Rattus norvegicus: one gene and its partners. The main gene of each other region encodes a partner of the protein of the gene in region 6 in a complex. Links are inferred from orthologs where the notes say so. Each region holds a gene or a part of one and is shown on either strand. Other genes may lie near its edges.

Region 1 (3,500 bases), about 9.8 Mb from region 6:
ATCTTTATGAATTCGAAGCCAACCTGGTCTACAAAGTGAGTTCTAGGACAGTCAAGGATGTTGTTACACAGAAAAACCCTGTCTAGAAAAACCAATACATGAATAAGAATTTTTTTTAGAAGTAAGATACGGAAATATTTAAAGAAAAATTAATGAGATTACAGAGCGTGCTGTTTTGAGCAGGAGTGTGATGGCTGATGACGTCTGGGAGATACTGAAGCCTAGTAGGGAATTAAGTCAGCTGACCCCTAGTGCAGCGAGACGGGTTTAGCACACTAACTGTTCATGGAGTCTTTTTTCATTGCAGAACCTCCTGAGGTGTTCCTGGTCACCAGACGGAAGCAAGATAGCAGCTGGCTCAGCAGACAGGTAAGGGTCCCTGGGTATGAGGTGGAGAATGGGGTGGCTATGCGGGTCCCACACCTAATGCCTAACTGTGAAGACAACAGAGGTACAGCTTTCCACGTGACTGAGGGGCTCTCAGAAGTGAAGCCGTGTGAAGACAAATGGTTTAGAGCCCATGTTGGACACACGTAGTTTTCTGTCTGTTTGTTTTTAGGCCTAGAGAGTCGACTGTGTTTATATCTGTTGGAGACTGATAATCTTCCTAGTGTCTCTGCCTTCTCCTTCCCGTCATGTAATACATTAGAGGCTGTCCCTCCTGCCATTCTTCTCCAGGGTCTCTCACACCTCCCTCAGTGCTCTCTAGACTGTCTTCCCAGTAACCACTCTGCTCCTTCTCTGAGCTATCCATGGCACTCTCTCAGTGTTCGCTCCCTCGCCTTTTCTCTCTCTTCTCCTTCACCCTCTCCCTTCCCCCTCTCTCCCTTTAGCATGACACATTGCTCTTTGTTCCATACATCTAACTTTTATACATATTTTTCTTCCTTACATTTAGACAGACATTGGGGGCATCTCTGTGAATGGCTCTCACAGTCAGAACAATCTTTTGACATCCTCTGTAAACCCAGGGTACTGGTTGGTGCTTGAATTCTGAGCGCTTGCTGTTTCAAGGACAAATTCCTAGGTCAGAGGTGACAATCAAATGCCACCCTTGTATCAACCCAGCATTTGGTCATAGCTGTCAATGTTAAAGATAATTCAGAATCAGCTCCAGGCTCGGTGGAAAGTGCCAATGTCGCTGAGGGAAGCAGGTTAGATAGCGTCCATCTCTGCCAAGTCACTAGGCTTTCCCGAGTATGAACTTAGAATGACTCAAGGCCTTAGTTGTGAATGGGAAACAGGGCAGAATTCACCTGTCAGATACAGGCTGGTTCTGGTGTCTGTGGTGCTGCGTACTTGGGAGAAAATCTGATGGAGTAGAGATTCTGAGTGCCAGGGACGAAGGACTTGTAAGTGACGCCTAGAGGTTCACAGTAGAGGCCTGAAAGCAGGGGTTCCCTTTGGGGACATGCTTAGAAACTTTGCAAGACAAGGTGTCATCATGGATCTCTGGCTGTCTTCAGACTCAGTGCGTACGGCAGACTGGCCTTGAACTCCGAGCAGGAGTGAGCTAGCGTGTCCAGCTCACATCTTCTGACTTACAATGTCTTCTTGCTCCTCTTCCTCTGACCAATCCTTAAAGAGGACACATGGCTTGGTGGAAGGAAAGCGTGCTCCTCTGCTGAGCTTGGCTGGATTTCACAGGCCACCCTGATAGCCTAAAGTCAGCAGTCAGTTCTGTTGTATAAGTAACCTGGTTTCTACCAAATGGTGACATGCCCACGTGTGGGGAGGACAAGGAACCCTCTAAATTTAGCATGTAATTGGCAGCCATGAGGAGTGAGCAAGGCCTTGAAGTAAACCCTTGGAGATCTAGGCTTCTGCTGGTTTCTGCCAACTTGAGAGATAATATCCAACTCAGAAAACCACTTTCCAGCTGTGCCTGGGTCTGGTGGGTTTCCCCTTCTGCTTACAGATCACCTCCCCCTGTGCCCTCTAACCCTCCGCAGCCCTGTTACAGGCACCGGCTGAGCCGCCAAGAGGATTCAGGTCAGCACATGACTTCATTGGCTCTGGCTGTGTAACACACTCACATTAGCAATAGCAGTCACTAATTCTGCGTGCCACTTTGCGTATATTCTTGTTCTCAAAAAGTTAGAATCCAGGGGTTGGGGATTTGGCTCAGTGGTAGAGCGCTTGCCTAGGAAGCGCAAGGTCCTGGGTTCGATCCCCAGCTCCGAAAAAAAGAACCAAAAAAAAAAAAGCTAGAATCCTTTTTTCCCCCACCTTTTTTTTTTTTTTGGTTCTTTTTTTCGGAGCTGGGGACCAAACCCAGGGCCTTGCGCTTCCTAGGCGAGCGCTCTACCACTGAGCTAAATCCCCAGCCCCTCCCCCACTATTCTAACGAAAGAAAGGCAGTTGTCTGACAAGCTGGCCAGTGAGTCCATGCTGTGGACCTTGCCCCCACTATTCTGACTCCAGTGCCGTCAGCCTTCCCCTCTGCCTGGGGCGGGGCTGGTGAGGGACAGTGGCTTGTGCGTGGCAGAGATAGGCATCAGAGGGCATGAGCACTAGCTCAGAGGCAGGGATGGGGTCTGCCTCCTGTCTAGACTATTTAGGTCTTATATAGCCCAGGATGGCCTTTAAATTCCATGTCTTGCAGCCTGTTTGTACCAAGTGCTGGGTTTACACGCATGTGCCAATATACCCAACTATTCCAAGTGTGTTACTCAGATTTGGAGCCCACACGGAGAGAGCACAGGACATAACTAATGAACTCTTGTTCATTTGTTGAGTATAGGGGTTTAGACCATCTCAGTACATTCTAGGCTGGCCTCAAACCCATAGTCCTCCTGGCTTCCCTCTTCCCAGTGCTGGGATTGCAGGTATAGTCTTTCTGTGATTTCAGAATTTTGTCAATTCTGTAAATAGCATAATCAGTCATGGACTGTATCTATTTTGTTGGGGTTTGTTTGTTTTTTAGCATTCTTTTTTTTTTTAAGATTTATTCATTTATTATATATAAGTACACTGTAGCTGTCTTCAGACACACCAGAAGAGGGCATCGGATCTCTTTACAGATGGTTGTGAGCCACCATGTGGTTGCTGGGAATTGAACTCAGGACCTCTGGAAGAGTAGCCAGTGCTCTTAACCACTGAGCCATCTCTCCAGCCCTTGTTTGTTTTTTGAGACAGGGTTTCCCTGTGTAGCCCTGGCTTTCCTAGAACGAACTCTGTATATCAGGCTGCCCTTAAACTCACAGAGATCTTAATGCTAGGATTAAAGGCATGCAGCACTGCTGCCTGGCCTCAGTTTGGTTGGTTTGAAGCCCCAAATATTCTCTGTTTCAGTTGGTGTTGTCCTGTTTTCCAAAGCCCAGAGGATTGTTCAGTAAGCAAACGTTCTCCATTTTGCTTCCAGCCCAAGTGCTCTGACCCTCTTCTAAGGGACCTTCCTTTGTTTGTTGTGGCATCTTGCAGGTTTGTGTACGTGTGGGACACCACAAGCAGAAGGATCCTGTATAAGCTTCCTGGTCATGCTGGCTCCATCAATGAGG
Region 2 (3,145 bases), on a different chromosome or scaffold from region 6:
GGCTTTTCTTCTTGCTGCTGTTGGTGGGAGCCACTCTGCTCTTTAAGGCTCCTCTGTCTGAGTAAGACAGCATCCATTGTCTGTCACAGTGAGCTTTTCGCACAATCCTCTCCTTCTTAGAGGGGGGTTAGACTAGTGCGAGTTGGGTAATCACAGTGATCTCCTTTTAGAGCCAGCTACTGAGGAGCTTGGCCCGTGTCAGGAATGTCCTGTGCAGTGTCACAGCAGAGGTCCCAGGGACGGGCGGTATTTTAGGATTTTGTCTATTATCCTTGAGACTGTCCTTCCCTTAAAGCAAGCCAGGACCCTCTCCCAGGTCTCCAAGGACCCTAGAGACCCCACTCCTGGGACCAGCAGGTCACAGTCCTCATTGTCCAGATCACCCAGTCAGTTGCTCTGAGGTCTACAGCGTGACCCCTGCCCTGTGAAGTTGTTCCAGCTCAGAGGGATTGGGCAGAAACAGGGAGCCTCTTCCCCTTCCACCTCCAACACCCCACACCTGCACACACAGCACACAGGGCCAGACAAACTTTAATAAGGCTCAGTATTACACTCCTAGCTGCGTGCTCCCCCTGGGAAGGGATCTAACCAAGTCTCCTTCATGACTGATGCTTGCAGCTGAGCAGGTTGACCAGCTCTTTCAGCCACAGTGGGGGCCATTCTCTTCTTTCCACAGTCTTCTCTTCCTCCACAGTTGCTGCCTGCGAATGTTCTGGCCTTCAGCACTGTGCTATCTGAAGAAGCTGCGAGTTTAATTTTCTCACTAACAGTCCTGAGCCCACTCATCTCTGTCCTTTACGGACAGAAAGAAAACAGGCAGCATTTCCTTGTTTGGAAATCTCTTCTGCTAAAAAACAAGTTCAGTTAACAAGTTCTGCTTTCCATACAACTATAGGACACAGTAGTTCCTTCCCAGTGTGCAACCAAAGTCCCTTCCTCTTTGTGAGAAACAAGGCGCTCACTTCACATGGGAGAGAGGGACTAGCTTAGAGAGACAGCGACAGGCATGGGAGGAGGTTGGAGGAAGCAGTGTTGGTGTGTGGGTAGGGACAGCCGGTGTCTTTGAGGTCATTAGGACAGATAGTGGACTCAGAAAAGAAGACAAATTTCCTCCTTCTTCTGTGATCCAAAGTTCTAGAACAAGAGTCAAGAGTGGTCAGTTTATATCCCAGTGTACCTACCAGGTACACTGAGTACCTACCAGGTTTTACTCTTAGGACTGGGACAGAGTAAGAGAAGCCAGGCTCCTCTTTACAAAAACCCTTTGCAGAGATAAAACTGACTGAAGCCTGTCAGAATCACACAGGGTTCCCGGGTATACAAAGTACTAGTCATGTCCAGTGTGCTTACAGAGAGACTAAGCCATAGAGCCCAGTAGGGCTGCTGTGCATGTGGGTAGGAGGAGGTGTGGGTGTCCACCCCCTTCCTGGGCTAACTGAGGACATGGAATGCTCCCTGGGAGTGAATATTTGACATATGTCATGTCAAACTGACCTTTTCACTGCTCTCAGAACCAGTGGGGCGTGGTCATGGGCTATAGTGGAAGCCAGTGTGTGATTCCATAGAAGTGATCCCATAGTGTTAGACTAATAGAAACAGATCTTTAGAAACTTGAAAAAATTCATGCAAATTCAGTAGGGATTAATATCTTTATTCAGAAAGTACAAATGCAGGTTCCTAAGTGAGGGAAAGGCCTGTCCTCTGAAGGGTGAGTGGCTAAGGACTGTTTGCTTCTCAGTCACAGCATACCAGGTGGGCAAAGCCATCATTCTCAACCCACGGTTACAAAGCGTTTGGTGAATCTGTACCAAGTCCCTGTGCACAAAGCATGAGAAGGTCACAGGCTTTTTCAGGAAAATTAGAGCACCTCGGGAAAACTGCTTGTCTTTCAGAACGATACAGCTGTCTTTGACCTTTACAGTCCAAGATACGGATGCACAATTGCAGGGCACAGCGGTGCATGCCCTCAGTCTAGAACTCGGGAGCAGGGGCAATGGGGTCTCTGAGTTTGAGGCCAGCCCTATCTACAAAGTGAGTTCCAGGACAATCAGAGATATGTAGAGACCCTGTCTCAAAAGAACTAAATTATATATGTAAACAAATGCACAGAAAATCCAAGAAGAGTGCAGAGTTTTTCTATAGAAAATTATATTTAGTGTTTGTCTTTATTTTGTCTTGAACTGTGGACTCTCTGAGTGGTCTGTGCTCTTAAATGGCATTACAGGTGCTTAGGCCGCAGAGAGACCAGACGTGCGTGGGGCTCTCTGTGAGCATCGCTCTTCTCTTCTCTTTCAGAAACAAACACATCATGATTGATTTGGGCACTGGTAACAATAACAAGATCAACTGGGCCATGGAAGACAAGCAGGAAATGGTTGACATCATAGAGACCGTGTACCGTGGCGCCCGCAAAGGCCGAGGCCTGGTGGTGTCGCCCAAGGACTATTCCACAAAGTACAGATACTGAGCACTGACTCAGGCTGTGCACAGGACACTGGGAGCCTCTTCTGGCTAGACAGACTCTGCTCTCATAGCCTCGGGAAAGGGCCTGCAGCAGAACATGGCCTTAGGGCTGGAGGAGCCTTGAGATGAGTTACAGGGGCCTTAACTACCTGAAGCAAATAAACGTGAAGGAACAGTAGGAATCTGCCGTGTGCTTTACTGACTGTAAATGTCTTCACTCTCAGTGAAAGCGTTGTCTGTCCCATGAGGCTGTCAGGTTTTGCATCTTCAAGTGGTCGCTAGAGCTGTCAAGCAAATACCACAGATAGGGTGGCTTCCACAGACATTTCAGCTGTATGGTTTTCCAGGTCTGCACCTGAGGTGGCTGTGTTCTGGGTTCCATTTGAGGCGTGGGCTATCCATAGTAACCCCTTAGCTCTGGAGGTTATTAGCCGTCCTTGGTGAACCTTGGATTGAGAGTACATTATCCCAGTGTTTGCCATTTTCCTTACGAGTTGTGTATGTCATGTGTACGCATGTATATGCCAATCTCAAAATATTCATAGTTATAAGAATACCAGTCACATTGTCTGAGGGGCCCACCTCACTCTGACAACCTCATCTTAACCAATTACATATGATAATCACTTCAAATAAGGTCATGGTCTGAGATTCTGAGCTTAAAACATCAATATATTGATTT
Region 3 (3,500 bases), on a different chromosome or scaffold from region 6:
ACTATCCATGTGGCCCAGCCTGGTCTAACTCCCTAGCCTTCTGCACTCATCTCCGGTACCAGGGAGTACTAGTACTACTCGGCTCCTTCATGTTACTCCAGGTCTTCCTGTTGCTCCTTTTATAGTCCATTTCTCAGCTCCACTCCCTGACATCTTAGAACACTTCACCAAAAGCACACTTACCATCTAGACCCAGCTCTCCCAAACAGGACTATGACCCTCACAGAAGCTGTCACCGATACTGAGGCCACAGGGGCCTGGGCTAACATGAAGAGGGAGCTGAGGACAGTCTCTAAGGGGGCTGAGCTGATTACCAACACTCACCACAGCCCAGGTACCAACACTCACCACAGCCCAGGTACCAACACTCACCACAGCCCAGGTACCAACACTCACCACAGCCCAGGTATCATCAACACTCACCACAGCCCAGGTACCAACACTCACCACAGCCCAGGTACCAACACTCACCACAGCCCAGGTACCAACACTCACCACAGCCCAGGTACCAACACTCACCACAGCCCAGGTATCAACACTCACCACAGCCCAGGTATCAACACTCACCACAGCCCAGGTACCAACACTCACCACAGCCCAGGTACCAACACTCACCACAGCCCAGGTATCAACACTCACCACAGCCCAGGTATCAACACTCACCACAGCCCAGGTATCAACACTCACCACAGCCCAGGTATCAACACTCACCACAGCCCAGGTATCAACACTCACCACAGCCCAGGTACCAACACTCACCACAGCCCAGGTACCAACACTCACCACAGCCCAGGTACCAACACTCACCACAGCCCAGGTACCAACACTCACCACAGCCCAGGTACCAACACTCACCACAGCCCAGGTATCATCAACACTCACCACAGCCCAGGTACCAACACTCACCACAGCCCAGGTACCAACACTCACCACAGCCCAGGTACCAACACTCACCACAGCCCAGGTACCAACACTCACCACAGCCCAGGTACCAATACTCACCACAGCCCAGGTACCAACACTCACCACAGCCCAGGTATCATCAACACTCACCACAGCCCAGGTACCAACACTCACCACAGCCCAGGTACCAACACTCACCACAGCCCAGGTATCAACACTCACCACAGCCCAGGTACCAACACTCACCACAGCCCAGGTATCAACACTCACCACAGCCCAGGTATCAACACTCACCACAGCCCAGGTATCAACACTCACCACAGCCCAGGTACCAACACTCACCACAGCCCAGGTACCAACACTCACCACAGCCCAGGTACCAACACTCACCACAGCCCAGGTACCAACACTCACCACAGCCCAGGTACCAACACTCACCACAGCCCAGGTACCAACACTCACCACAGCCCAGGTACCAACACTCACCACAGCCCAGGTATCATCAACACTCACCACAGCCCAGGTACCAACACTCACCACAGCCCAGGTACCAACACTCACCACAGCCCAGGTATCAACACTCACCACAGCCCAGGTATCAACACTCACCACAGCCCAGGTATCAACACTCACCACAGCCCAGGTACCAACACTCACCACAGCCCAGGTATCAACACTCACCACAGCCCAGGTATCAACACTCACCACAGCCCAGGTACCAACACTCACCACAGCCCAGGTATCAACACTCACCACAGCCCAGGTATCATCAACACTCACCACAGCCCAGGTACCAACACTCACCACAGCCCAGGTATCAACACTCACCACAGCCCAGGGTTCTTTGGGTTTTTCAGACGAGATTTCTCTAAAATGGCCCGAGCACGAGTCAGCTGCCCAATCTTTTCCTCTAGCCGGGAAAGCAAGAGCCACAGTGGCGTGGAGTGAGGACATTTCTTCAACTGTGACCAAAAAAAAAAAGTACAAAATAAGAGCTCAGAGAGCATCTACAAAAGACTGAGAATTGTGGTCAGTTTCCAGGAGTACTTCAGGGCTGTTAGGTATGTACTCCGTACTCGACTGGCTCTGTGCTGTGCACATGCAAACAGGAATGCATTGGTTTACTGTGTGTAATGGTGTTATGTACATGTACAATAAAGGATGCCTGTAGGACTTTGTATATGTGTCACGTACATGTGTATACAGGGTGTGCACTTCATGCACAGTGTGTTCACTATGCTGCTTTTGATGTACCTACCGAACGAACCCTACATATCCCAAATACAGGGTGTGCAACTTTGTAGGAAAAAACCACAGTATCCACAGCCACAGGAAGAGCAAAGGCTCAGGCCCAAGCACAAAGTTCTATCACTGACCACTGCCCCTCCACCTTTTTCAGAGGTGTGTGAAAATGACTATGCCCTGCTGCTGCGTTCTCTAAGATATCCTGACAGACTCACCCCCTGGTTGTAGGCCTCCCGGGCCCTCTCCATCAGCTCTCCTTGCTCCTCAATCTGCCCCTTCATCATCCACAGCTTGGGGAAATCTTCATAGTGCCTCAGAGCCTCCTCGCACAGCTCCTGTGCGGCAGTGATGTTCCCCAGCACCCACTCCAGCTTCACAGACTTCATGAACACCTGCAAAGCCGAGAAGCACTGCCACATGAGGGAGGGCGTATCCACCACTTATCTGGATGCTATCTCCACACCACATGCTTAAAGTCACACATCTTTCACACATCTGTCCTGGGCCACTTAAGTTTTTATTAGCTCTCTTGTGAATACAAAAGGTACAGATAAATAAGGGATGCATGCTAAAGCCCAGGACCAAGACTGGGCTGGGGTCGAGCTGTGCCACCCATCTCACTCCTTCCAAATGCCATGTAGGAGCCAAGAGGAACCCAGCCAACCTCCCCAACCCACCAGTCACCACTCACACGGGCGGTGGGTGCGCTGCTCCGGGCCTTGGCCAGCAGCCTCCGGGCTCGCTCGTACTCATTGTTCTCTGACTCCAGCTTCACAGCCGCCAGCCAGATCTCTTCGCTGTTGGGGTTGGCCTGGAGAACAAATGCAGCTGCATCAGAAAGGCTCAGCACAAAAGTGACCAAGGCTAGATCACTCTTCATCAAAAACAGGCATTCTGAAACCTGAGCTGGCCCTCTCCCTGATGCAGGACTAGTATGAGTTAGTATCAGTACACTCCTGCACAAGCTACAAGCTGGGGGGTCACAGGGAAGACCTCAGCCAGGACCCAAGCTTATAGGGTGAAAACAGAAACAAAACTCCGCATTTGTTTTCACTCTTGTACAGAGATGAGGCAACAATGTTAGTGCTCTACAGCGCCCTCTCTAGGACCTGTCTAAGTTCTACACAACCTTTAAAATGCATGCCTTTGTGTTGGGAGTTGCTATATCTAGTTTAATCCCTTCCCTCGGCACACCACACCATGTGGTCAGGGTAGAAAGATGTTCAAGGTGCAGATAACGAAGTGTAAAGGGCTCCCAAAGGCATGGGCCAAGCTACACAGATACACTGTCCAGGAGATGTAAAAGTGGTGCACGCAAAACTTGTACCCACCCCGCTCTGGGAATTCTGCTA
Region 4 (3,500 bases), on a different chromosome or scaffold from region 6:
ATGCCACTACCCCCAGTTATGTGGTGTTGGAATCAAGCCTAGGCTTTGTGCATACTGGATACCCTATCACTTGAGCTAAATCCCCAGACCCATTTCTACCCTTCTGAAAAGGAATTTGTGTGGCCACTCAAGAGGAAAAAGGAGAAAGCCCTCTAATCTCTAATGTCTTTTTTCCTGCCCCCGGCCCCCAAAAGGTAAAACAGACAAACTCCTAAAAAAAGTACATGAAGCTAGCTGCTAAGAACCTAAAAGTAGACATTCTCCCTCCTACCCTCACCCCAGAATAAAGTAAGGCGTCTTGGTGGGCACTGCTCAGCACCTACACTGTTTCCTGGCCTGCGATCAGTGATGCCGACACAGCCAACCTTCCTCACAGCATGCTGCATGCACGAGCTTAGGCAAGGTTGCTGGAGTACTTAGGCAAGGTTGCCCAAAAAAGGCAAACAAACTCAAAGCCACCAGAGGAACAATGCTATTTTGCAGCTCTGTGCCATGCCAGCCAGGGGCCACTCACTCACTCACATGATGAAGCACATGGATCCTGTAGGAGCCCTCAGAAGGCTTGCCATCATGCACAATGTTGGCGATGAGGTCATAGGTGGTGTTCTTGTGGACTGCTTGGACTTCTTCAGATAAGTATTCTCTCAGATCCACATTTCTGGAGACACAAAATAAATAAGTCAGACCATGGCTATCAAGTTAGAGAAATCCCTACACAGGAACAAATGAACCACAGAGTGACTGACAGTTACTTTAGGGTCCTCGCTCTAGGAAGGTTTACAGTGCCAAAAATGTCCCAGTGAGTTGAATTTTACATTTCTCAACAGCAACTACTTATATCAGGAAAACACCCTTTAGAACCATGTCTAGGTGCCAGAAGTGCAGGATCTCTGCTCGCCTGGATCTAAACGGGAATCTTGGCTGTCACATACATGACAGCTGTGAATCTAAGCAGGTTACACAGGAATGTGACCCCACTAGCTACCCTGGGAGTAATGAGCTGGGGCAGCAGGGCTTCACCTCGGGCCTAGCTGGAGCCACCTTGCAGCTCCAGGACTCAGGCAGCGCCTGTCCTGTGCCCTCAGGCCTACAGGAAGAAGAATGACCACATGCTAGGTCACCACTGCAACCATCTAATCTGAACACTAGGCAAACCATCAGCTTTTTATTTTTAAGGCCCTTACTTTCATTTTCTTTCAGTGAAGTTAGAGGCAAAATCATTGCAAGCAACACAGCTCACATAATTAGCAAAGGTATGAAATGGGAGTTTATTCACGGCTTCCAGACTAGGAAACCAGCACTGAAGAAAAAAAGGGTCCAGAGAGCTGGCTGCCTTCTGTTCCTTTGTATGTGTGGTGTATGTTCCTGTGTGCACATGCAGATGGATATGAATGCCTGTACAGGTGAGAGATCAACACCCAGTGTCTTCCTCAGTTTCTCTCTTCCTTATTTTTTATACAAGGTCTCTCAATGCCATCTTCTGCTTTTCAAAGGCAAAGCCACACATGCAGTGTACAAACACACATGCTGATGAAAACACTCATATACATAAAGTGATGTATACTTTCTGGATCCATTGTTTTCTTCAGTGCTGGTTTCCTAATCTAGAAGCCTTGAATAAACTCCCATTTCATGCCTCCATACACCTTTAATTCCTCATGAGGAAGAGGCAGGAGGATCTCTAGGAGTTCAGTCAGCCTGGCCTACATATGAGAGCCAGAAAAACTATGTAGAGACCCTGTCTCAATAAGGGTTTTTTTTTTAAAACAATTAGGGAAATGAAGCAATTGATAAAGTGTTGGCCATGCAAGCCTGGTGGCCCGAGTTTGATCCACACAGTGAAAGAGGAGAAATTAATCGTATACCTCATTCTCGGCTTCCCACATGTGTCCAGGCTCACAGATACCCATAAACAAAATAGATAAAATGTTAATAAAGAAGTCATGGAGCCCTATTCTAAGAATAGACCTCCTGTTTTCTAACTTTCCTGGAGCAAGCTTTCCAAAGGACAAACTACTCAAGTCACAACTCCCAGATGCACAAATGCACAGACAGATAAGAAGACAAAAACACGCCAAGCCCAAAAGAAAAGCTAGCAGGGTAAGAAGTTCCGGCAGCTTCTCAACAGAAGCACCCGCAGCGGCCCATCCACCCACAGCGGCGCCCTGCAGCGGAAGCACTCCTGCTCTCAGGAGCAGACTGGTGATGGTGGCAACTCACAGGAGGCTGCTCTGACATACACCCTGGCTGATGGAATTTGAAAGACAGTGCTTCTGGAGTCCACTAAAAAGAACAGGCAGATGGCTTCTGTGTTCCTTACTTTGTTCTACTTGTCACACAAACAGGATGGTGCGAAGAACAGGAAGAAAAGTGTGGGAAGGAGGGGCTGGAGAGACGGCCCAGAGGTTAAGAGCACTGACTGCTCTTGCAGACATCCCAGGTTCATTTCTCTACACCTACATGGTTCACAACCATCTGTAACTCCAGTTCCTGAAGGTCCAATGACCTCTTCTGGCCTCCATGGGCTCCACATGCACACCATAAACAGACATACATGCAGGTAATACATTCATACACATAATTTTAAAAACTGTATAATATCCTTTAAAAAGGAAAAAAGGGAATTCTCTTGTATTCCTAAGAAATTCTCCTACGTGGCAGCTGTCACACACTTAGAATCGCAGGTTGAGGAGGTTGAGCCAGGGTTCAGCAAAGACCAGGCCTGAGCTTCAAAGCAAGATCCTGTCTCCAAATCTTAGAAAAAACTTAGATAAAATTCAGATAAAGCTCTGTGATACAGCGCTCACCCAGCACCGAAGCTGCCTGCCTGACTCAGTCTCTAGTAATTAAGGAGAGGACCCCCAGGACGTCCTCTCCTTACTGTCTACTGCCACAGATCCTCAGGAAGGGTGGAATCCATTCAAAGAGAAAGCCTACCTGGAGGGAGCCTTAGGACTCATGCAATCTCAGTCTTACAGCCCAGAGTGCACTTTACCCACTAAGCCATCTCCCCAGCCTAAGACTTTAGATTGAACAGAACTCAGAACTGGAAATATATTCAAAGGAAAACTGGCAGTCCTTGTACTTGGGGAAAGTGAGAGGAAATGGGAAGAAAAGAATCCAAGAGGGAAGCACCCGTCCACTACTGCCCCAAACGGCTTTGTTTGTTTGTTTGTTTCTTTTTTTTTTTCCGGAGCTGGGGACCGAACCCAGGGCCTTGCGCTCGGTAGGCAAGCGCTCTACCGCTGAGCTAAATCCCCAACCCCCAAACAGCTTTGTTACACAGACAAAAATGTACAACTTCCCTGTCCCTGGAAAGCTGAACATATTCTAGACATCCCCGAGTCAAACATCTTATGCTCAGGCAAAGCCTTTTCTCCGCTAGTCTGTCTTAGACACTGCCCTACCTGCAACCTCCTCACCACCAGATGCTGACACACTCACGTCAGACTGCCATGGGCTTTCTCCATGTTCTCAGAGAACTTCTTCAGATCACATGA
Region 5 (4,300 bases), on a different chromosome or scaffold from region 6:
GGGAGCAAAGAGGAGAGAAGCATTCATTTATGCTGGAATCAGCAGAGGGAAAATCAGAACTACAGTGACAAGGGGGGAGGAACTCTAGGCCCTGAAGCCAGCAGGCAGCCCCTGTAAGTTCTGAGGTGGAAATGATAAAGCACCTCAGACTCAGTCTGTCCTCACACCAACACATCAGAAGCTCGTAGTCAGGCCGGGCCTATGCTCCATTTAATATTAGTATTTCCACTTTAAGACAGGTTCTCACTTGGCCCAGGCTGGCCTCCAACTTCTGGCATTCCTACCTCCACTTCTGAAGTTCTAGAACTACAGCTAGGAGCACTACTCATGGCCATTGCCCACTGGGTTTCCCTGTGGGGTTCTAGAACTAGCTCTGTAGATAAGGCAGGCTTCAAACTCCCCCCTGCCCCTGCCCTTGCCCCTGCCTCCTGAGGGCTAGGTTTAAAGGTTTAAGGGATGAACAGCCATCAACCACTCAGCTAATCACCTTTCAAAGTAGTATCATCCAGGACTTATGAGAGGTCATGTAAGGTACCAAAACTTACACAAATGAACTGGAATGTCAGCCCTGATCTGCACGACTCCCAGAAACATCCATTATTTTTAAATACTGATTTTTACTATTTGTGTGTATGTGCATGTAGTTACCCACAGAGACCAGAAGAGGGCATCAGATCCATTGAAGCCAGAGTTCTAAGGAGTTGTATTCAGCCCAACAAACTGTTGTCAATCACCTAATGTAGCTGCCGGGAACTGAACTCTATTTCTCTGGAAGAGCAGCAAGCTCTTTTTAAAGCACCAAGCCATCTCTGCAGCTCCAATAGCTGTTACTTGTAAACATTTATGCTTTGGAGCCAGAGACCTACATATACATGGCAGCTGAAATTAACTATTATTAATGCTACACTCCCCCACCCTCTAGTCCTGAGTACAGTTATCAAAGCCACTGCTCCCACACCATGTTACCCATCTTATATTTACCCACTGCACGGAGGTGCAGAGGAATTAAAATTTTAATTAACAACCCCAGATCCTGCATTTTACTTCTTCACTCTCTACATTCTACGAACCCCCACTGCTCTGTGGAAGAACACTTGTGTGGTCTGACTTTTAGACTAGAAAAAGTCTTAGCTACTCTCCACCCCGGCCTGGGCCAGCCTCTCACTTGCCCACACTGGCCATAACCATCCTGCTTGTCAACACCACGTTCTGTCTTAGAATCAAGGCTCTCAAGCACTGACCTGTGCTCAAAGGTTTCAAGAGTCTACAAATAAAAGGATTTTAAAAAGAAACACGAGGGCTGGAAATGAAGTTCACCTGTTGAGCATGCCCATCCAGTACATGAAAAAAAAAATAGACATCAGTGACACCTATAATTTTCTAAGCACTATTAAGAAAGTAGACTCTAGAATTAGGGATTTAGCTCAGTGGTAGAGCGCTTGCCTAGCAAGCGCAAGGCCCTGGGTTCAGTACCCAGCCCCGAACAAAAGAAAAGAAAAAAGAAAGAAAGAAAGAAAGAAAGAAAGAAAGAAAGAAAGAAAGAAAGTAAGTAGACTCTAGGGGCTGGAGAGATGGCTCAATGGTTAAGAGCACTGACTGCTCTTCCAGAGGTCCAGAGTTCAATCCCAGCAACCACATGGTGGCTCACAACCAACTATAATGAGATCTGATGCCCTCTTTTGGTGTTTCTGAAGTCAGCTACAATGTACTTATGTATAATAAACAAACAAACAAACAAAAAAAGAAAGTAGACTCTAATGGATGATGTGACAAGAAGCCATAAACATCTTTCCAGTGATACAGCATTTAATCCACTCCTGAATGGTTAAGAGCAAATGATACAGCAGGGCAAATCCTAGCACTCAGGAGACAGAGGCAGGCGGATCTGTGTGTTCCGGGACATCCAGGACTGCACATACATGTTACTTAACTGTATCTCACTGTGTAACTCTGGCTGGCCCTGGACATATGTAGACCAAACTGTCCTTGAATTCACAATTCTGCATCAGCGTTGGGATTACACGCATGTGCCACAGCACCAGGCTCACTCTTAAACTAATCTTTACACTCAAGACACAAGATATTTCTTCTGTGTTTTGCCCCTCTGCTCTAAAATAGCTTTGTGAACAACAACCACGAAAACGATCAGGACACCAGGCACCTCCCACCTTCCACCAACTCGCTGAAATAAAGACCTACCTCAGATCATTCTTGAGTTCCACGACTACATCCTTGCCCACAAGGGACTTGAAAAAGGAGTAGAAGAGCTATTGGAAAAGAGGGAGGAACTATCACATGAAAAGGGACAGGGAGGAGGAACCCGTGACGGCATTTGAAATACCAGTCCTTTTGGCCCCACCTAGTAGTTCTCAAAATTTCACCACCATCAACAATCCGTTAACAGAGACTGCAATTCCTGGGGCCACAGAGAGACAATAACTGCGCTGCACCCCTCGATGCCAGAACCCACTCTCCGAATCGACCACCTCCCTGCTCGAGACCGCTTCCCAACCGCACCCTCACAAAATCCTGATCTCCAGCACGGAAATGCAAGACTAGCTTTCCGTTCTCCCCCGGCGCCCGTGGGCTTTCTCTTGGACTTGCTGGAAGTTTCCCCAAAAAAACCATTGGTTCCAAGCAGTCTCCTCACACAGGGTGTGGGCCCTGAGGTTGTAAGGAAAACCCTAGGGCTTAGCTACAGCCCAAGGCAACAAACACTAGAGCGCAACCAAGACCCGAACAGTTCGAACCGCCCGCCGCGGGCGGCGGCGCTCCCTTTTGACGTCACGGTACCCACCATGGTGCTGGCGCCACGAGGGGCGGCCTGGACCGCGAAGGAAGGCGCCGGGGACTGCGGGCCGGAGGCAGGGCGGGAGCCGGAGCACGAGCCCGCGCGTGAGGCAGGACAGGATCACGCAGGCGCAAGGGGAACCGCGAAAACCGCGGCTGAATCTGGGCTCAAAGGGAGCGGAGTAGGGCAGAGCAGAGAGGACCGCCAAACCGGGAGGAGGGCGGGACTTCCTGTCTCCCACTTCCTCCCAAGGAACTCCTCCCTCCCGAGCGCGTGCGTGGGCCATAGCAGCTGCGCGTTGGATGTAGTTCGCCTCCCTGATAATTTTTTAGATTCTTCTCTGTGCCGGGTGACTTGCTCATACTCTACGCTTTCTACTGAGAATTATTGGGAAGATTGAGAAAATTATGACTTGCATATTCTTTTAAAAAAGATTGAGTTATTATATATAAGTACATTGTAGCTGTCTTCTGACACACCAGGAGAGGGCATCAGATCCCATTACAGATGGTTGTGAGCCACCGTGTGGTTTCTGGGATTTGAACACAGGACCTCTGGAAGAGCAGTCAGTGCTCTTAACCGCTGAGCCATCTCTCCAGCCGTATTATTTTTACTAGTAATTAAATGGGAAGTTGCTAGGTTATAGCTTCTGTAGATATCATGTCTGGATAAATAGGAAAACACTTGCTATTTTGTCTTCTCGAGGCTGGCTGTTGGTGCAAGGCAGTCATGGTACACAGGTGAGAATTCTGAGAGACTAGGCCTGCTGATTGCATGATACCAAAAAAGTCGGTTTCCTGGGGGTCTGGGTGAAGCTTGGAGCATGCCTGCCTGTGTAGGCCAGAGATGAATGCTGGCTGTTCTTTCCACTTACTTAATATTTTAAAATTTTATATGTGTGAGTTTTTCCTTGCACGTATATCTGTGTACCACATGTGCAGTGTTCCCAGACACTAAAAGAGTGTGTTGGATCCTCTGGAGTTATAGTTGTTAGCCACCATACGGGTGCTGGGAATCAAACCCTGGTCCTGCCGAAGAGCAACATATGTCCTTAACGACTTAGCCATCTCATTTTCTGAGACAGGATCTGCCACTGATCCTGGAATGGACAGGTTCATTCAGCTAGACTGACTTGCCAGCAAGACCCTAAGATGTGTCTTCCCTCTCTGTCCTACCTACCCCACTCCACCTGTGCACATCACTGTGTTCAGAGCTGGATCCATCATGATTACCAAGCAAGATGTTACCGAGTTTCAACAGAAACTTTAACACCTGAATCTAAAAGAGGCTGTCACTGGTTAGAAGCAGTCAGTACATTTAGCAGCTGCTTCCTATGGGCTCAGGGTGCCTGAGAATTAGAAAATATTTTTCCTGGCAGGTGTAACGTTCTGTAATTCCAGTCATGTAGGCAGCATGAACGAAAGACATTTGAGGCAGACCTGCCTCAAAACCAAAAAAAAAATTGTTGGATATGCTCAACTTACACAAATTCAAGTACTTTGCCCTTAT
Region 6 (4,187 bases):
CTCACGGCAACCAGGGCAACAACAGGTGAGCACCAACCGTGGAAGCCCATTGAACACTGAGGCAAAAGCCCAGTCTTGGTACATATAAAGGCACAACACAAGTCAGAGCTTAGTCTGCTTTCTACAGCTGTGAAAGCCCACCCAACAAGATCAAACCACACTGAGGAAGGAGGAGGGGCTAGGTGCAGGTGAGGCCTAATTCCAAGGGACAGAACTGGGTGTCAAGGCACCAGAAACCAGTCAGTAATCTAATCTAACCCCAAATCTTAACTGAACCTCACTTACCATGGAAAGCAGGCCTGGAGCCGAGTGTCTAAGTTTAAAATTTTCATCTGCAAATGGACCCCGGTAAATACTGGCGACTCCAGTACCATCGCCCTGAGTAGAGAAGAGACACATCAGTGGCCTGGAGTGTTGGGCACCCTGGAAACCAGATGATAAGGCCGGGGAGAATGGTCCACAGGTAAGGGGAGCCAGCCAGCCAGCTGTCCTAGCTGAACCAAGCAGCTTTTCATCTAGTGCAACCTTGTCATGAGGCAACAAGATAGTGACTGACAGAGGGCGTCAGATCCCATTACAGAGGGTTGTGAGCCACCATGTGGTTGCTGAGATTTGAACTCCGGACCTGTGGAAGAGCAGTCAGTACTCTTAACTGCTAGACCATCTCTCCGTCCCTTAGCTATTATTCTTAAATCTCAAGACTGGGCCTTGCTGGAAAAAAATTAACAAAGAAAAAAAGCAGTACTTACATTAACAAAATCTCCACCCTGAATCATGAAATCCTTTATGACCCTGAAAGAGAGTTAAAAAAAATCCTGAGGGAAGATTCAGTGGTTCAGCCACTGAAGTGGTAGATTAGCATGTCTTCTGGAGTTCAGTGTTTATCACTGAGGCTTAGAGAAAGTCTTTGTCCCTGGGGTGAGCCAGCTGAGGGATTAACAGTTTTAACTCAGGGGCCCCTTTTAAGTTGCCCTCAGGTGTATGAGTCAGCACCTCAACAACAGAAAGGAACTGAAAACCTGGCAGAGACACACCTACAGTCACCAAAGGAAAACAAAACAACATCATCAAAAAACCACCTCACTTTGGGGAAAGAGAACACAACGTGAATGGACTGCTGCACACACTGAAACTCGAGGATGATGTCAGCTAGTGTACCCAGGTCCTTAGCTTTGCTTAGCCTCTTTTCCCTACCTTGCAGAATTCAGAAAACACATCATAACACCTCACAAGAATGCCAGGGGAGGATTACAGACTGCAGCTCTAAAACCCTTGATATGGGAGACAATGGACATTTTCAGGATTAAAATGGAGCAACTTCTGTCAAACTCATAAGTAAACATAGAAAGCCAGGAGATCGTGAAGGTCAGGTTCCTACAGACGACTGCCTGGTAACAGTGGTTACCGCAAAGTCTCTGCTAAGTCATAACCCAGAACCAGGGAGGGTTCAGCGGGTAAAGTGCTTGCTGTGCAGCCTAAGGATCTGAGTTTAGATCTCTAGGAACATGTGGACATGCTCCTGTACTGAACAGGTACTGAGTAGGTACAGAGTGCTTTCCCTGGCACTGTTTCTACAATCAATATGACATAAAGTCAGGCATGACTTAAGGCACTGTGCACAGACTACATGGTGCTGAGTACCGAATCCAGGGTCTTATGAATGCTGGGCAAATTCTCTACCAAGCTACAGCCTCAGCCCTGAACATGCCATTTAAACAACAGACTTAATCCTCCACAGGTTTTGGATTCAGGTGTACAGGACTGCCTGTACAGATACCAAGAGATGACTGCATTTCCAGTTTGCCAAAAGCCTTCCTTACCTGTGGAAGGTGCTTCCTTTGTATCCTATCGGAACGCCGTCTTTTCTGTAAACACAAAGGAAGACACTAGGAATGATGAAAAATAAACGTGGGTCTTCCCCATTTAGGATGCACGAGAGGCTAAGAGGACTCTCACTAAGATCTGGATGGGAGAAGAGATAAAGAACACATCCAAGGAGTCATCTTCTCTCTGCATATCATCTTTCATTACTAGAGACCTGTTCATGGTTCTCCAATACCCTCACCAAACGTCCAGGTCACCCTTCAGGAGTTGGTGGAGAAGTCAAACACATCTGAGACTGACCTGAATTCTCCAGTGCAGAACTGCCTAAAAAGAAAGAAATCAAGAAAGAAACAGTGAACGATTCAGCCGCCGTACCATCACTGCTTGGAGCACCTCTAATCTCTGGAGAGGAGAGTTCAAACACTGGGGCCAGCATGCCCACTAACTAACTGATCGGGCAGATGTCAGGGCACGTAGACTAGTGATTTAAGTTGATATGGGATCGGTCAAAGTCGGTAGCTATTTGGCCAGTGCAATACCCAGAGCACTACTCTAAGGCAATGAATAAATGAACAGAGGCAGACAAGGCAAAGACTGAACCGAGGGCTCAGCTCTGGTTCACTTGGAGCATACATATCTTTACCTAAAGTTCTCTGCCGTCTTAGGCACCACGTCTGCAAAGAGCTCGATCTTCATGCGACCAACTTCCTGCAAGAAACGGGAGATGCAATACTCAGCCCACGACCGCTGTCCATGCAGCTCGGAAGCTCCCACCTCCACCGCCTGACCCAGCCTATCTCGGGAGGGCTAGAAGGGCCCCCTCGGCTGCCTCCTTTACCCGAGTCCAGTCAGCCCGCACAGGCCCGCTGGGCCGCCCGCATCTCACCTGGCCGCCAATACTGACATCAAAGAAGACCACTGGATTGACGGGACTTGAATTTGCCACCGCCATGGCTTTGACTCGGAAGTAGAAGCCTAACTTCCGGTGACAGGTCCCGCGAACTTCATCGGAAACGCAGACGCAGTGGAAACAGTCCGCGGTTGCGCCCCGCCCCGGAAGTGTGGCAGGTACTGAGGGAATTTTAGCTGAGTTGGTCCGAGCTGCGGGAAGGAGCGCAGGCGTCTTTATCAAAGTCTATGGGCTTCTCCACTCTCTTGACTGTATTAGCGTAATACAAATGAATCTTTTGCAGACAGCTTTTCCCGAGCAGTCACACTTGGTGTCCTCTGTTACAGCCCATGAGAGGAGGACCCTCTGGGTCACATTCCATATTTTAAAATGGTATGTTATGTAGGGTTGACGAAGTCGCGATGCTGGAAATGTAATTTCATTCTTTTTTATGATTGTAAAATGTTTTTATTTTTTAATCGATTCACTTTACACCCCGAGATCGCTGCCCCCTCTCCTGGTTACCCCCTCCTACAATTTCTCCCCCATTCCCTCTTTACCTTTTCTTCTGAGAGGGTAGAGATCTCCTCTGGTTATCCCCCACCCCCATCAAGTCTCTGTAGGTTAGGCCCACTCTCTCCCACTGAGTCCAGACAAGGCAGCCCAGCTAGAAGAAACAGCCAGGCATCTTTTGGGATAGCCTCTACTCCAGTTATTCTGGACTCACATGAAGACTGAGCTGCACATCTGCACTGTGTGCGTGTGCGTGTGTGTCTAGGTCCATCCTGTGTATGTTCTTTGGCTGGTGGTTCCGTCTCTGAGAGCCCCAAAAGATCAATGTTAGTTGACCGTTAGTTTTCCTGTGGAGTTCCTATCCCCTCAGAGGCCCTCAACACTTCCCCCAACTCTTCCTTAAGAGTCCCCAAGCTCCATCCAATGTTTGGCCATGGTTCTCTGCATCCTTCTGAGTCAGCTGCTGGGTAGAGTGTCTCTCAGAGAACAGCCATGCTAAGCTCCTGCCTGCAAGCATAATAGAGTAGTATCATTAATAGTGTCAGGGATTGGTATTTGCCCATGGGATAGGTTTCTAGACTCATTTCTGTCACAAGCTTTTAGCTCATTTGATATAGAAAGTTTCAGGTTTTAAAACCTTTGTGCTAGTAATTTCACTTTCCAGTTAATCTCTTATTGTCCTTATTCAAGTATGTGTTTATTTGGGGACTTAAAAAATTTTTTTTATGTGTAGTGGTGTTATGTTTGTCCGTCTGGTGCCCCTGGAGGCTATAAGAGGGTGTCAGATCCCCTAGATTGACAGAACTTGAATGACAGACAGTTGAGACAGATGGATGTAGGGAATTGACACTGGGTCCTCTGGGAGAATAGCTCTCGGTGTTTGGGAACTTTTGAGATAGCATTTCATGTTATATCAGGGTCAGTTTACCCTCAAACTTGATAGGCCAGCAGATAACCTTGA

The links.
Region 1: Ppih (region 6) and Snrnp40 share a complex: the UniProt entries of both Homo sapiens proteins name them as parts of the U4/U6-U5 tri-snRNP complex. The link is inferred for Rattus norvegicus from reciprocal best matches to the Homo sapiens genes PPIH and SNRNP40.
Region 2: Ppih (region 6) and Txnl4a share a complex: the UniProt entries of both Homo sapiens proteins name them as parts of the U4/U6-U5 tri-snRNP complex. The link is inferred for Rattus norvegicus from reciprocal best matches to the Homo sapiens genes PPIH and TXNL4A.
Region 3: Ppih (region 6) and Prpf6 share a complex: the UniProt entries of both Homo sapiens proteins name them as parts of the U4/U6-U5 tri-snRNP complex. The link is inferred for Rattus norvegicus from reciprocal best matches to the Homo sapiens genes PPIH and PRPF6.
Region 4: Ppih (region 6) and Usp39 share a complex: the UniProt entries of both Homo sapiens proteins name them as parts of the U4/U6-U5 tri-snRNP complex. The link is inferred for Rattus norvegicus from reciprocal best matches to the Homo sapiens genes PPIH and USP39.
Region 5: Ppih (region 6) and Lsm2 share a complex: the UniProt entries of both Homo sapiens proteins name them as parts of the U4/U6-U5 tri-snRNP complex. The link is inferred for Rattus norvegicus from reciprocal best matches to the Homo sapiens genes PPIH and LSM2.

Annotation. Positions count from the first base shown.
Region 1 is NC_086023.1:148,012,290-148,015,789, forward strand, and holds part of Snrnp40 (U5 small nuclear ribonucleoprotein 40 kDa protein), read left to right. Parts: intron 1-307; coding exon 308-369; intron 370-3,423; coding exon 3,424-3,500. UniProt on the Homo sapiens protein: Required for pre-mRNA splicing as component of the activated spliceosome. Component of the U5 small nuclear ribonucleoprotein (snRNP) complex and the U4/U6-U5 tri-snRNP complex, building blocks of the spliceosome.
Region 2 is NC_086036.1:75,947,229-75,950,373, forward strand, and holds the end of Txnl4a (thioredoxin-like protein 4A), read left to right. Parts: intron 1-2,295; coding exon 2,296-2,467; 3' UTR 2,468-2,645; downstream 2,646-3,145. UniProt on the Homo sapiens protein: Plays a role in pre-mRNA splicing as component of the U5 snRNP and U4/U6-U5 tri-snRNP complexes that are involved in spliceosome assembly, and as component of the precatalytic spliceosome (spliceosome B complex).
Region 3 is NC_086021.1:189,139,965-189,143,464, reverse strand, and holds part of Prpf6 (pre-mRNA-processing factor 6), read right to left. Parts: intron 2,960-3,500; coding exon 2,840-2,959; intron 2,541-2,839; coding exon 2,364-2,540; intron 1,866-2,363; coding exon 1,732-1,865; intron 1-1,731. UniProt on the Homo sapiens protein: Involved in pre-mRNA splicing as component of the U4/U6-U5 tri-snRNP complex, one of the building blocks of the spliceosome.
Region 4 is NC_086022.1:105,933,552-105,937,051, forward strand, and holds part of Usp39 (U4/U6.U5 tri-snRNP-associated protein 2), read right to left. Parts: intron 659-3,500; coding exon 523-658; intron 1-522.
Region 5 is NC_086038.1:3,848,866-3,853,165, forward strand, and holds the start of Lsm2 (U6 snRNA-associated Sm-like protein LSm2), read right to left. Parts: upstream 2,801-4,300; coding exon 2,798-2,800; intron 2,629-2,797; coding exon of another isoform or gene 2,518-2,628; intron 2,268-2,517; coding exon 2,200-2,267; intron 1-2,199. UniProt on the Homo sapiens protein: Plays a role in pre-mRNA splicing as component of the U4/U6-U5 tri-snRNP complex that is involved in spliceosome assembly, and as component of the precatalytic spliceosome (spliceosome B complex).
Region 6 is NC_086023.1:138,206,781-138,210,967, forward strand, and holds the start of Ppih (peptidyl-prolyl cis-trans isomerase H), read right to left. Parts: upstream 2,801-4,187; 5' UTR 2,777-2,800; coding exon 2,711-2,776; intron 2,533-2,710; coding exon 2,468-2,532; intron 2,149-2,467; coding exon 2,125-2,148; intron 1,866-2,124; coding exon 1,821-1,865; intron 793-1,820; coding exon 750-792; intron 379-749; coding exon 286-378; intron 1-285. UniProt on the Homo sapiens protein: PPIase that catalyzes the cis-trans isomerization of proline imidic peptide bonds in oligopeptides and may therefore assist protein folding. Participates in pre-mRNA splicing.